2 linked regions of the Danio rerio genome follow. The protein of the gene in region 1 purifies or fractionates together with the protein of each later gene. This does not show direct contact. Links are inferred from orthologs where the notes say so. Each region holds a gene or a part of one and is shown on either strand. Other genes may lie near its edges.

Region 1 (4,273 bases):
GCAGCTTTTCAGCAGACAGTAGACAAATACTCTAATGACAATTTTGCAAAGTAACATAGTAAACGTGTGTCTGGCGACCATCTAAATAAAATTATTCACAATTTTTTAAATTAATAATATCAAACATCCACTTTCTTAATCAACAAAACAGAATTATAGATTGAACACAAATCACTGCTCTGTTGAAGAAAATATGCATTTCCAACCTGTGATTATTTCCTCCTTGTCATTGATATAAAAAGGTCAAGATTTTAAAGGAGTCAACAGTGATCTTTATATGTGCTGTTGAGCATGCGTCAAGGCATATCATGTCCCCTCAGTGAGCTGTCTCATCAGTTTCTGTGATGAGTCCTCATCATGGTGGAGGTCTCAGTTTTGATGGTGTGATTACTTTGGTACTTGGCAAGATAGTAATGGATTATGTCACATGCCTGTGGGAACCTGCTGCATCTATCTATCTATCTATCTATCTATCTATCTATCTATCTATCTATCTGTCTATCTGTCTATCTGTCTGTCTGTCTGTCTGTCTGTCTGTATTAGTTTAGATTAATGACCAACAGAAACGACTAAATAAATTTAAAAATGAAGCAGTAGAACTATTAAAATAAAATCAAAAAGTCAAGCTAAATAGGTATGTTTTTAGGAGTGATTAAAAATAGACAGATTGAGCCATTCTAATCTCAATTTTATTTAATCATATGGTCATTAGTCAGTCATACTGTATAATTGTCATTTTATGGACTATTAGTTAATGATTTTATTATTATTATAGAGTATTATTTGTAATTGTGTCTTTATATTTTATTATTATTATTGAGTATTATTTGTAATTTCGTCTTTATATTTTATGATTATTTTCCTATAATAATTTGCTCAATATTATTGAATATTTCCATATTGTTATAATCTTATGGATTCAAGCGACACTTGTTTTTAAGCATAAGAGATGAGAGAATGTCTTCATTTCAAGGTCTGTATTGTCTCTGGACAATGTTGTGAAACAGTCATTTCCCATTGCTGTTGCTTATATGGTATAATAACACTTGTTGGATTTATTCTTTTCAGACAAACTCTTAGCATTGGATCATACAAAACTAAGATTATTCAATAAACTCTGCTCTTTCTCTATCATCATTACTTTGTCTCCTGCTTCTGCTCCTCCGGCTTATTAGTTACTCAGTCAACTCCTACTGTAAATCGATAGGAGACTGTTAATTTAGTTGAATCTATCTATATGTCTGTCTGAGAACATATATCGTATCAGGTCAGTTCATATCACATCAAATACTTACATTCTTTTTTCTAAATTTAAAATATAGCAATGTGTAGGCTATAGATTATAAGCACATTAGATTCTTACATTCTCGCAAAACACCAACACAACATCGCGGTATTCTACGGGATTTCACTGTTCCAACGCAACGAGTGACGTCACAAACGTTGACGTCACTTCCGCCGTTGAAGTGCGTCAATCGCGAAACGTTGCCATTTCCGCCTGGCAGACGAAAGGTCTACGTTTTGTGATAGCGAGTTACACCATCAAATATGTCTCTTGGCATGTTATCTCCTCATCTGAACACTCCACCACCAAATAACCAGGGCATTCTTATTGGCGATAAAGTGTATTCGGAGGTGTTTCTGGCCATCGACAACTCGATCATACCCGAGGACAGGCTGAGCACGACCCCGTCCATGCTGGATGGCCTCGACCATGAGACCGAGACAGACCTACGGATTCTGGGCTGCGAACGCATTCAGTCAGCCGGGATTCTCCTTCGTCTGCCACAGGTTAGTGTTGAAGTGTGTTTATATTCAGGAATTAACGTTAGTTCGTTTGCTCGGCTCACAGTTATCTAACGTAAACGCCTTAACTAGGCGCTTAGCATAGCCGGCTAACTTAGCCGAAACCGGCACAGTGAAACCGGCGGCCTTTGTCTTCCATAGAGTCCTTCAAGTGGCTCGAGACACATTTTTGAGATGCTGTTAAAGATGATTCTCGTTATTTGTTATATTTTTTAGCGATATTATAATTATGTTGAATGTTATTTACGTCAATTGTTTACGAGAATGTGGTTGTTGATATTGTTTTATGTTTTTTGCGTAGGTGGCGATGGCGACGGGACAAGTAATTTTTCAAAGATTCTTTTTCTCGAAGTCCTTCGTAAAGCACAACTTTGAGGTAAGTTAGAAATACATAATATTGTTAAATACCTGACTAAGACCATCTCATGAAAACTTTGAACCTGGTTTCGCTTTAAAACAGATTGTTGCTATGGCCTGCGTGAACTTGGCTTCAAAGATTGAGGAGTCGCCAAGACGAGTGAGGGATGTGATCAACGTTTTCCACCATTTGAAACAAGGAAAGGGTAAAAAGTAAGTCGAACGCATGATTTTAAGTTTTTGTTGTATTTATGTTTTAAGAAGTAGTTTTATTTACCCAGGAAAGTGTTATAAAGCCGCAATATACAGTAGTTAATGTCTGAAGTTAACTAAAACCTGTCATCAAAGTTGTCCTATAAGGAACGTTATTAAATAACATTCTTTCTTGCCTTAAAACAAGTTTGAAAAACTTTGTACATTTTATTGTACATGTTAATGGATTTCAATTTACTCTTCAAAATTTCTGCCTATTGTCAATATTAGTGTTGCTGTTAGATTGTGTCAGCGATTAAATCTGTGAGGATTTTTTTTTGTTTAGTCTTTTGAGGTGATTTTTAACACTTAAAATAAGAACAGTTTTAAATAAACAAAATAGCATATTATAACTAGTATGCATTAGCTTAACATTGAAATAGCCATAGAAGCTAGCTTAACAATAAACAAAAAAAATTAAAATACAACCTGTCAAACCTTCTAAGTAAAAGCTGGAGTTATAGAACACACCTACCTGTTACATAATCTACCAGTGTTAGTTTACAGCTGTTTTCCAGCTTAAGTGAACTTTTTTGCTTTGGCCGGTGGTTTTAAACTATTGAAATGAATTTTAGTTTTGATTAAATTCAAAATGTCAGACCAGTTCGGTCTTCAAAACATGTTGGTCACTTAATCCATCATTTAAACTGCCCTGTTTTCTGATTAAATGAAATATAAATTTCTAGTTCTGAAACGATTTTGGAAATTTTGTAGATTTTTTTTCTGTTGACATAAGTGAAAAAGATTACGTTGATATTTTAGGAAAATTTAAAACAAATCAGTGGATGTGGATATCATTGTAGGTATGAGTTCTAAATTGTTTTTTTAAATGTCTTGTTAAAAACAACTACTTCCCCCATTGAACTCAATATATTTAGTTAAGAATCATTTAAAATATTTTGGAACCGTAGCTTTTGATGTGGAGGGTCCTTTCCTGCGGAACATATTGTTGCCCAAATAAATAAAATAGTCGCTAAAAACACGTTAAATAAACTGTAGATATACCATAGGAACAGTATAACAGAAATTTAAAACCTTGACTTTTTCCAAACTGTGGTAAACCTTAAAACAGTTTATTATCCCATGTCTGTGTCATAGATGTAATGTTTCATGTTCAACAATAGCTAATTAATTTTTTTTCTATTTGTTGATACAGGAGCACACCCCTCATTCTTGATCAAAATTACATTAATACCAAGAACCAAGTTATTAAAGCTGAGCGTCGTATCCTGAAGGAGCTGGGCTTCTGTGTTCATGTCAAACATCCACATAAGGTGAGTTTTGTTTACTATCAGTTAAAATGTTGTTATTGCTTGTCTTCTGTGCATTGAAATCCTTATTGCATCTCTTAAAATTTGTTTTCTATCATTTTAGATTATAGTCATGTACCTGCAAGTGCTGGAATGTGAGAAGAATCAGATGCTGGTTCAAACAGCATGGTAAGTGTTTTCATCTACCTCTGGACTTTATGGAAATGCCCTTTAAATTATGACTTGGAATTTTTTCCCCTTATAGAGGAGACATTGGATCAGGTTTTTGGTTGGACTTATGCTCTGTTTCCACTAGTAGCTTTCTTTATTTGCTAAGAGCTTGACCTTTTGTGAAAGAGCTTGAAACTTAGATATCAACAGGACCTAGTGGAAACACTGCATTATAAAGCATGAAATGCATTGTAGCTTGGTATGCCTAAAGGTAAGATTAGGTTCACACTATTCAGTCTTCTTTGTCAATGCAGGATAACCATGTGTTGTTGACTTGTTGCACATTGAGGTTATGGCTTATGGAGAGCTCTGCTTAACTTTGTCCTTTCTCTACTCTTTGATTAAAGGGTAGCCCATGGTGGTAAGTGTCACAGAAA
Region 2 (3,500 bases), on another chromosome or scaffold:
TTTCCAACACAACCTAAAATCAACGTCATCTGAAATCGTTCTGGGACGTTAAAAAAACATCCTTAGACAGTGGCTAGACCAGGGATGTTGCTAGAGTCGGATAAGGGGCTTAGTCCCAAAGGAGAGCATAAACTCACTGTGATTTAACAATTACAGAAACAGATGTGACTGGCTATATCATATCTAGAGAAATGTTTCTGGATATCTATATCATATCTATAAAGCTAGTACAAATGACATTTTTCTGAATAATTTGCATGTATTTACTTTAATATGATGCACATTGTATTGATTACAGTTTTTCTACACACATTTTACATTGTGTAAACAAATATTAAGTAGATTTTTTTGTGAAACAGTTGTATTATTAGTTCATCAGCTCCTCAAAATAATGAATGAATGACGTGTGACTGGATTTTGTTTAACACTTGCCGTGTGATAACAGTCCCACTACCACCTAGAAACAGTTACTGCTGAACAGCTGACTATTGAAGGACTCGACACAAAAGCTGCATTAAGTGGAATGAGCGTGATGTATGTGGTCATTTTAAGCACTTGGAAAACAAAATGAATGTTATACTACCTATTTTTTTAAGTGCAGCATATTCCAAAAGATCAGGGCTTTTGACAATACATCATATATGACACTGGGCTAGACGTTGAATTTTGGTCATCTGACATCAAGACCTAAATCTAACCTAACATTAATGTCTTATGACGTTGTGTGCCTGTTGGGAACAGTTGCATAAACATTGAAATATTAATAAATAGAGTATATAAATAACACTAAAATAGCACTGATGTACAGCATGATTGCATTTAAACTTTTATATGTTATTAAACGTTCTATGTTTTTAAATATAAACCAATGTCTTCCAGATCTAAAAAAAAATACATGTACTTAAAAATTTAAATAGAAAATCAACATGAATAAGATTTTTGTTTTAAAACTAGCATTCGTACTATACTATTATTTCTAGTAATAATATTAATCCAATATTGTACTTCAAGATTAACAATATATATTAAAATATATTCTTTATATGCATATACAAATCTAGAATGTTGTTGAAAACCAAAAGATTGCAAGAGTTAAAAGCACATATGTGAATATTGACTGATCAGTGATTGATACCTGCTCTCATCGGGGTGTGTTGGTTCCGCTTGACACTATAGTGCCGTCTGCATTAGTGTGAGACTGCTCCTTCACCACTGGATCTGCACGCACATATGGATTGTAGATGTTATTCATTGTGTCTGCAGCAGCGGTCAGCAGTCATTAGGTTGAGGAACTCACAGAAATAAGGGTGCTCCATGGCCTCGGTGGCGGTCAGTCTCTGCTGATGGTCGTAGCGTAGCAGCTTGTCCAGAAGATCCAGAGCCTCTGGACTCACCAAATGCTGGTTCTCCGTCTGCACAAATTGTTCCCAGCGCTTCCGTGTCTGCCTGTGGGGACACGAAAGGAAAAATTTAATAAATACTGTACCATATTTATTTATGCTTGTTTATTTTACTTTTACTTCGTACTTTATTTTACTTGTTAATTTTACTATAAATTACTACAGCAATATGTACACACACACACATACACACACACACACACACACACACACACACACACACACACACACACACACACACACACACACACACACACACACACACACACACACACACACACACACACACACACACACACACCTTTTTCTACATAAAATACATAAAGGAATTTTTTTATTAGTGTTGTGGATAAATCACATCTTTAATTTATGGTAACGAGTGGCCTAATATTACATTAAAAAAGTGACTTACAGTAACACAACTGGAATCTTTATCTCCCTCAACAATGTAATTTTAATATTAGCTACACATAGTTACACATACACATATATTTATACACTTTATTAGGTACACCTGTCCAACTGCTCATTAACGCAAATTTCGAATCAGCCAATTTCTAATCAGCCAATCACATGGCAGCAACTCAATGCATTTAGGCAAGAAGACATGGTCAAGACGATCTGCTGCAGTTCAATCTGAGCATCAGAATGGGGAAGAAAGGTGATTTAAGTGACTTTGAACATGGCATGGTTTGTTGCCAGACAGGCTGGTCTGAGTATTTCAGAAACTGCTAATCTTCTGGTATTTTCACGCACAACCATCTCTAGGGTTTACAGAAAATGGTCAGAAAAAAATAAAATATCCAGTGAGCAGCAGTTCTGTGGGTGCATCTCTGAACGCATGGCACGTCGGACTTGAGGTGGATAGACTAGAGCACCAGAAGACCACACCGGTTGCTGCTCCTGTCAGCTAAGAACAGGAAACTGAGGCTACAATTCGCACAGGCTTACCAAAATTGGACAATAGAAGATTGGAAAAACGTTGTCTGGTCTGATGAGTCTCGATTTCTGCTGCGACATTCTGATGGTAGGGTCAGAATTTGGTATCAACGACATGCAAGCATGGATCCATTCAGCCCATCAACGGTTCAGGCTGGTGGTGGTGGTGTAATGGTGTGGGGGAAATTTTCTTAGCACACTTTGGGTCCATTAGTACCAATTGAGCAGCATATCAACACCACAGCCTACCTGAGTATTGTTGCTGACCATGTCCATGCCCTTATAACCACACTGTACTCATCTTCTGATGGCTACTTCCAGCAGGATAATGCGCCACGTCATAAAGCGCGAATAATCTCAGACTGGTTTCTTAAACATGACAATGAGTTCACTGTACTCAAATGACATCCAGTCACTAAAACTCAACCCGATGAAGCACCTTTGGGATGTGGTGAAAGGGGAGATTTGCATAACTGATGTGCAGCCGACAAATCGGAAGCACCTGCGTGATGCTATCATGTCAATATGGACCAAAATCTCTGAGGAATATTTCCAGATTAAGGCAGTTCTGAAGGTAAAATGGGGTCCAACCCTGTACAAGTAAGGTATACCTTATAAATTGGCCGCTGAGAGTATATATATATATATATATATATATATATATATATATATATATATATATATATATATATATATATATATATATATATATATAATAGTTAATCTTTTATAAAATTAATAAATTACTGTATGTACTTTATTTGCTACTAATGCTTTTATTTACATAGAAAGATTATTAAATGCAAGTATCTGCTATGTTTTTGTAAAAATAAAATCCTAAATATTTGTGAAATGTGTCCCTGGAGCACAAAACAGGTCTTAGGTGTAAATTAAGTGCTTTACACCAGAATAAATAAGCTTTATATTGATGTAAAGTTTGTTAGAACGGAACAATAACTGGCTGAGATGCAACTACTTGAAAATCTGAGGTTCTAAAAAAAAACTAATTATTGAGAAAAAAAAAAGCAGACTAAATGAAGTGCACATTAAAATGACATTTTAAATGCATCTATGGTAGCAAATTAACTAAATATCTCTATGGAAAATAATCTTGATCCTTCAAATGATTCTTGGCCTAACAATTTTGATCCTGTTTCCAAA

The links. The genes of interacting proteins can lie anywhere in the genome.
Region 2: the proteins of ccnl1b (region 1) and csnk2a2b purify together in Homo sapiens (affinity purification with mass spectrometry; 4 studies listed by BioGRID and IntAct, with this or other methods). This does not show direct contact. The link is inferred for Danio rerio from reciprocal best matches to the Homo sapiens genes CCNL1 and CSNK2A2.

The regions. Positions count from the first base shown.
Region 1 is NC_133177.1:39,650,260-39,654,532, reverse strand, and holds the start of ccnl1b (cyclin-L1), read left to right. Parts: upstream 1-1,473; 5' UTR 1,474-1,548; coding exon 1,549-1,791; intron 1,792-2,107; coding exon 2,108-2,182; intron 2,183-2,266; coding exon 2,267-2,376; intron 2,377-3,571; coding exon 3,572-3,689; intron 3,690-3,789; coding exon 3,790-3,854; intron 3,855-4,243; coding exon of another isoform or gene 4,244-4,257; intron 4,258-4,273. UniProt on the Homo sapiens protein: Involved in pre-mRNA splicing. Functions in association with cyclin-dependent kinases (CDKs). Inhibited by the CDK-specific inhibitor CDKN1A/p21. May play a role in the regulation of RNA polymerase II (pol II).
Region 2 is NC_133200.1:14,573,496-14,576,995, forward strand, and holds part of csnk2a2b (casein kinase II subunit alpha'), read right to left. Parts: intron 1,447-3,500; coding exon 1,298-1,446; intron 1,219-1,297; coding exon 1,142-1,218; 3' UTR 1,136-1,141; intron 1-1,135.